Caenorhabditis elegans: one gene and its partner. The protein of the gene in region 1 interacts with the protein of each later gene in a pairwise test. Each region holds a gene or a part of one and is shown in the gene's direction. Other genes may lie near its edges.

The links.
Region 2: the proteins of fkh-6 (region 1) and F21A9.2 interact in a two-hybrid assay, tested with the Caenorhabditis elegans proteins (one large-scale study listed by BioGRID).

What each region holds. Positions count from the first base shown.
Region 1 is NC_003280.10:4,381,241-4,384,996, reverse strand, and holds the start of fkh-6 (Forkhead transcription factor fkh-6), read left to right. Parts: upstream 1-1,590; 5' UTR 1,591-1,708; coding exon 1,709-1,746; intron 1,747-1,906; coding exon 1,907-2,015; intron 2,016-3,370; coding exon 3,371-3,582; intron 3,583-3,655; coding exon 3,656-3,756. Other genes in the region: B0286.1 (uncharacterized protein), read right to left, coding at 16-178, 1,315-1,374. UniProt on the Caenorhabditis elegans protein: Probable transcription factor. Binds to the DNA sequence motif 5'-[TA]TGTT[TG]T[TG][ATG]TT-3'.
Region 2 is NC_003279.8:3,707,729-3,711,484, reverse strand, and holds the start of F21A9.2 (C2H2-type domain-containing protein), read left to right. Parts: upstream 1-2,049; 5' UTR 2,050-2,264; coding exon 2,265-2,306; intron 2,307-2,703; coding exon 2,704-2,805; intron 2,806-2,993; coding exon 2,994-3,108; intron 3,109-3,266; coding exon 3,267-3,377; intron 3,378-3,423; coding exon 3,424-3,611; intron 3,612-3,657; coding exon 3,658-3,756. Other genes in the region: F21A9.1 (PRELI/MSF1 domain-containing protein), read right to left, coding at 119-233, 417-467.

The sequences.
Region 1 (3,756 bases):
CAGTCAAAATGTCACCTTTATTATCGCGATCCTGTGGATGCTTGTCCATTTGTTCTCTCTCCTCCAACTTTTTCACTTTTGCCTCTTCCAGTGTCTGCACCAATTCTCGTCCCAATAACAACTTTTGCGGGATGTGATGTTGAATGTTACCTCGATCGAAGAACAATGGTTCATCAGCCTGAAAATGGAGTAGTTAGTTGACCCTTATGACGGCTACTTTTTTCTCTCTTGTAGACTCATGTGAAAAGAAATACAGGGAGTAAGTAAAAATAGAAACAAGCAAGACCTTTGATCAAAAAGTTTGAAACAATTTGTTGATAAGAGAAAGTCAGACAGATAAGCAAAACAGTGGCAAATATTCAGGTGATTTATTTAAAGTGATATGTTTTCGTTTCAAATGGGAAAATATCTTGTGATTCTGAAACTACACAGAGAAAAATTGAAAGTGTGAAAAAATAGAACTATCTATGAAAAATATCCAATTTTGGAAATTGTTTGAATATTTGAAATTCTGATTATGTGGTGAATTATTTTAAACAACCATTTTTAAAATCACTTTCTTGAGGGAAATTATTATTGATAAAAATCTTTTTTTTTTCGAAAAAATCGAAAATTTTGCAATCAAAAATTTTCAAGTTTTCTAAATTTGTTTCTAAATTTTTCTGATGCTTTGGAAAATGGCTAGTTTTGTCTGAATTGACCGTTTTAGCATTAAAACAAATATTTCAAATTATTTTGGTCGATCCAGGCACTTCTATTCACTTTTCGAGGCTACAGAAAACAATGCCCAAAAATGTGGCTGGAAATTTAAAAAGTTAAAAAAATCCAGTTTTTAATGAAATTAAATTTAAATTAAAAAAAAAACGATACTTGTGGTTTATAATCATTAATTTTAAAACAAATTTGTTTTTCAGAAGTTTGAAAAAAAAAATTGGAAATCATTTTGATCTACTATTTTGCCAATTTTCCCTATTAGCCTTGCGCCGACATTGCTCCACTTTGACGACTTATGTCTTGGTTCACTTAGATTTTAACAAAAAATGATAAACTAATAAAATGTAGAGAATTATTTTGGGAGTACTTTGCCAGTTAATAATTTTTGATAAAATCAAAAAGAGCTGAGATATACGCTGTCAAAGTAAAGGAAAGTGCCTGGAAGTCTAGTAGAAAAAATACAATGAATGAAAGGTGACTAAAAGTCGCTGGAAAGTCAAAAAATATGGTCAAGTTAAGGATTAAAAAATCGCAAAATTTTCAGAATAATTCCAGATTACTGTAACGGGAGTACTGTGTACAACAAAAAGAAGCACAAACCTTCTGATTCCTGCTGAAATGTGCCGTCTCATTTTGCGAGTAATGCTCGATGGCTCCTCCCTGTAAAAAGTTGTGTGTAATTTTGTGTTGTAATACAAATATTCTCCAATCGTCGTCGTGTTCTCCCTTTCGATTTTTCGTTTATTTACAAAATATAAAAAGTAAGAGATGATCAGATTGGATGTTTCTGTTTCCCTTTTACCAGTGAATCAGCACCAGAAAATGTCAGGAGCACACAGGGGGGAGAAGGAGACAGTGTGCACAATCTTCTTCCATTTCTTTCCCTCCACCCACACCTCCGTCTTCACAGTTCCGAGACCCCGCCCTCACTCTTAGCTTCTGCATAATCCGTTGTCTCATTTGACACCCCCTACCATAAAAAAATACAATAATCATGACTCGCCATCAAACACATCTTCCATTTCATATTGTGTAAGTTATGTATTTATTTATTTTATTTATTTATTATTGTTTTTAGAGAGGGAGAGAGAGAGGGGAAACATATTTTCTTTTTCTTCTTCTCTAAATACAAAATCCCCGTTGCAAAATTCTGTTAGAGGCAAAGTTTTGAAAATAAAAGAGCTCTTTCCAGTCAAGAGGGAAATTCGATTGACAAGCCGCCATACAGTTACGTTGCACTTATTGCAATGGCAATCGATGCTTCGCCGGATAAGAGAATGACGTTGAATCAGATTTACAAGGTAACGGGAAGCTTTTCGATAACGTTTTTTTGGTATAGCGGTTTTGGAGGAATTATCATGAAAATTTTGCTAAAACTAAATACTTTTTTGCGGAAAAATACCATTTTAAAAACCCAAAACTGGTGCGGCAATTCAAATTTTGAAGAATTTTTGAGCAAATTTTTCACAATGTTAGCGGAATATTCCAGTTTTTTTTGGACGTCATATTGAGTATTAAAATATGTGCTAGAACTTTCAGTTATTCCTGCAAAAATAGATCTACGAAATTCAATTCCAAAACTTTAAAAATTACTTTTTTTCTGAGAATTTTTATCTCACTTTACACTAACTTCGAGGCTGCTGAAATTGTTCCAAATCCGATTTTTATCTTCTTTTAAGTTTTTCAGGTATAGGCAAACGTTTGAAAGATTTTTTTGTAAATTTCAATTATTTGAAAACTTGAATCATCGGAGTCTATTTAGTCATATAAAACTGATCAAGCCGAGCCATTTAATGAAACATTTTCTAGTTCAAAATGCTCCTTTGAAGCGAAAAATTTGGCGATCATCTTGTAATGACATATACTTCATTTAAAAATCCAGAAAAATATTCGTCACTTCTCCGGAGATTCTCCCTATATTTTTTGTACTTTAAATTGTTTTGAAATTACTAGAAAAGCCTCAAAATATCTGTTATTTTGGAGATTTTCTAACACGATTATATAGCAGTAAAATTAATCTGCTCCTTATTGCTACAAAAAAAACGAAATTCGAAAAAAAGTTCTTAAGGTTCTACATCATCTTTCCCATATCACATTTTCGTACAGTAAGTTTCATACATTGATATTTTTGTTGTGATATTCAGTTGGTTGCTTTTTTTTTCCACCTAGCCCTGCCCTACCGTAACCCTGTCACAAGTGATCTAGTAATGTTCAGTTCAATCTAACTCTGGAAAACCCAACTCACTAGCCAGCACATCTACCGTAACCCACCACTTCCACTCTTCCGTTTTGACTCATCAACCTTAATAGATCTGACTAATTTGGTGTGGGGGGCACCCTGTGCCTCTCCCATAACATTTACACAGTGAACAACTTTTCCTCTCTCCTACAAGTCAATAACAATGTCAATATATATATATATAGACCTTCTTCGTGTCAAGACCCAAAAACCTTAGTATTCAACTTTGACAGTTAATATCTCAGCTCTCGTTTGTCCTAAACAAAAATTGTCTACCAGCCAAATATTTTTTGGTTATTTTTCTATAGGTTTGTAGTTGATCATTCATTGATATCTTTATTATGAACCGAGATATAACCTTTCAAAGTATGTTAGTTTCCTATCAGGCGCAAACAAAACCGATGATGTGTGTTTCAGTTCATCGAGGCCAAATTCCCATATTACCGTGACGCGGACGCGAAACGAAAACAGGGATGGCAGAACAGTATTCGACACAATCTGTCACTCAACGACTGCTTTGTCAAAAAAGCACGAGACGGACAAAGCTGCGCGAACGACAGAAAGGGCAACTATTGGCAAATGGTGGCGGACAATGCGCCTCAGTTTGACAACGGCAACTTTAAGAGAAGGTATGGATAGTGACAAGAGGATTATTATTATTATACACTCGTGAAAAATGACTATTTGTTCATGTATTTACAGACGTGTCAAAAGACTTGGAATCGGAAAAATGGGTTATGCGAATACGACGGAAACTACTGAAACAGGGACCATTCTACAGCAACAGCTTCCGTTTTTCAACG
Region 2 (3,756 bases), on another chromosome or scaffold:
TTTTTTAATTTATTGGAACATTCTTTTATTGGGATGTCAATTTTACAAAATGATCTCAAATGGTTGAATTACGTAAATTAAACATTTAAAAAACTTCGTGGTAGGACCTCAAACTTACTAAAAATATTGATCACACTCTCCTCGGAGTAGTACACTCTTTCATGATTTTTTGGATTTTCCCCGAATTTCAACGGAAGGACTTTTAGTGGAAAACTGCTTTCTAGTGCTGATTCCTGGAAGGTTTCTATATTTTTTGGAGTTCATTTTTAAAAAAATTCAAAGTGTCTTTCTGATTATGAGGAATAAAAAATGCTCTTGGGTACTGTAATGAACACCAAAAAAATGTTGTCCAGTTTTTCTGGATCTACCTTAAGATTAACAAGAAAAAAATTAACACAGAATCTTTCCTAACTTACGATTTTTAAGAAAAACCCAAAAAATAGTAGGAATTCGGTGAAAAGATGCATTGTAGAACCCTCTCTGAACAATCCTTCTGTCCCGTTTCCGGTTACCTCATATTTTATAGTTTTATCACCGCTTTTCCTTTTTCCTACATTTCCTGAACCTTTTTTTGCTTTTCAGTGCCTCCTGCCACGTCATACATCTGCAATCAGCTGATGTTTTGCAATCAATCGGTGTCGTTTAGTTTTTTTAGTTGAAACTGATAAGAAACCCTATCAGCACATACTCCACTGATTCAATTCAACTGATATGATAATATCACACAGGCTCACTTTCTTTTTCCTCTTCCTCACATTTTCATCAGTAATAATACATTTTTATCACTTTTTTGAGTTTTAATTCGAAAAAAACCGGTGGCACTTTTGAATTTTTGACATTGCCACGTGGCGGCTTTTAGAGAGAACTGTGAGAATACATACTTTCAGTATTTTATTTTTTATAGTATGCACTATCCTGATTTTTCGTGAGTTTTTTTCTGAGAAAAAATTGGCACATGTTTTTGCGTTTCGGAAACTGTCGATAACTTGAATTTTGCATGAAAACCTTGATGGCCGAGATTTTCTCTCTCTCTCTCTCTCTCTCTCTCTCTCTTGGTCATGCAGTAAAACCGTCATGATTATTGTGCGGCCGCGGAAATGAAAGAAAAAACTCGGCCGCCGATTTGCTGCTACACGATCGTGCACGAACATCTTTTGAACTCTGCTTTGGGGTTTTTTCTCTTTCATTTAAAATAATTCCAATTGATATTATATTGATAAAAAAATAAACGCGTATTTAAGCGGAATGGCCTCGCTACGCGCAACCCATTGATTGAAAAAAAAAAACATTAATGAGTAACGCGTGGTGAGACCATTTCGCATAAATACGTGCGCCTTTGAAACCGTAGAAGAAGAAAATAAAGTTCGCTGTATAGCTATAGCGTGTATATAAGTGAATTGCACGGATAGGGCGCGAGAAGGGCGAAGAGAGAGAGAGAGAGAGAGAGAGAGAGAGAGAGAGAGAGAGGCGCCCCCGTCACGCCTCAACCTAGTGAAATGTCTACAGTCGACAACTGGGAACATCCCTACATGTATAGTTAAACTGAATCACAGATGATAAGAGATTGTGGTAACTGATTAAAGATAAAAATTGGGGTAGATAATGATCAGTAAGGAAGACGGCGATAATTGAGATATTCGGTAGGCAAAAGTCAATGTTATAATATTACTTTACTATATAGAGCTTTTAATTTTGAATCAGCCATCTATGAAAATATTCTAGAAACATCTATGTACCTTTAAACTGTTGAAGTGTAAGCACATTTAATACGCAAAAAAATAATTACCGTAGCTCAAATTATGCACTAAGGTAAAAGGCTTCAATCTGACAGTACTTTGGAGATTCTCATAAATAATTAATTTCAAAAACAAAGCAATATTCAGAAGTTTAAAACATTAGATTTTCTCTATTAAAATTTCATATTTTGCTCTTAAAGCACCTGCCAACTCAATGCATCACATTTCACGCGCAATGTTCACTACTCAACTTTTCCTCTCAAATCTCTACTAATCTAATATTCATTCCAACCGGAGATTCAATCTATTTCAGTTGTTCAGTCACTTCATCTGCTCTTCCCAATCTTCCTTTTGTCTTCTTCTTCTTCACCTTATCATCAAAATCTGTGTGACTCGGAGTGCCGGAGCACGCACAACTTGCTCTGCGCCCCGCGTTGTCCCTGAGATCTTATCGCTCACTCGAGCCCATCTTTCTTCGTCGGAAGCCTCTTCTTTCGTTTTCTCATTCGGCCACTTCATTTATATACAATGGATGTAAACCAATCGATTCTGCATAATACAATAGCTAGCGTGAGTTACAGTAGATTTTTTGATTTTTGCTTCAAACCCGGTCTCGACACTACAAATTTTTGTGAAATGCAAAAAGGTGTGCTCTTCTAATAAGTAATGTTATCTTGCACCTTTTTCTGACAACTTGTTGAAATTTGATTTGTTCTTATTTTTATTATCGGTTTTCTTATGAAAGGTGAAATTACAGTACAGTAAACTCAAAAGAATTAAGCGTTGCGAGACCCAAAACGCTACATTTGACAAACAAAAATATTGATTAATGAATAGGGAAATGATGATAAATATAAATTCAAAATTACAAAAATAACGCAAAAAAAATTAGAAAATTAAATTTACACATCGCGTAAAACTTTTTTTGTTGAATATTGAGGACTGAATTATCATCAAAAGTTTGCAGTCAATACGAAAACAAGTTATGACCGCACCAATCGAGTTTAGATGTGGCGATTGTGTTGGACCGTATTCTGTGAGCGGCAATGGACAACTGTTGAGGATTACTGTAAGTTAAAGCATATACTGTAAGTTATAGAAGTTGGCGCAATATCTGTAGATCAAAACTGGATTCTGACTACCGGTGGGTTCTCAAATTTGCGCGTAACTTTTGGCGCATTGAATTCTTCTGATTCGACAGACACAATACACCATATTCCCCGCACAAATGCACCGTAGAACCTCCTTAATTTCCAGCTCTCCAACTTCACCGGTGAATCGATGGGTTTCGAGATGGAATCGAATCCAGTGACGCGGAGAATTCAAGCAGCCCAAGGTCCACTTCTAGCTAATTGTGTCATTATGCAGACAGGTATGCGAGCCACACGACATGGCCTAGAAATTGAAAACTAGGCCACCCAAACGGATATTTTTGCACTCAAAGACAATTCATGTCCTGCCTAGCTTTCACTAATTAGTCCACCAAACGACTTTTTTGAAATTTCAACTTCACCTAGGCCAATGTTTCAGGTCCCGTGTTCACAATTCTTTTCACAAAAAATCTGACGACCGTGGAGCCACTTCGAGCCATTCTTGTCGCTGATATGAACTATCGTCTGGAGCAAGAAAAGTTGGAGAAAAGTGAGCTTTTTTGCTTTTCGAAAAGAACTGCATTTCGAAATTTCAGAACACGAATGTCCACACTGTCACGTGGCAAAATTCAACTCCCTTCACAATTTGAAAGTTCATGAAGATTTGTACTGTAGTAAGAAGAAACTCGGAAATGTAGTTGAAAATGCGGATTCTCGAAAACAACAAAATGTTATTTTGTTGCCAATGGCGTTTCATGACCTCTTTCAGCAGAATCCCTTTCAGGTAACTCAGTTTGAAAGCTAGTTGTTAATTTCAATTGAACTTTTAGGTAGTGGGTCCTGTTACTATTGGACGAAATTCGGCATTAATCAACTCAAATCCTTTGCTCATTCATAACAAGAGAAAATTGGAAATGCCAAACTTTTCA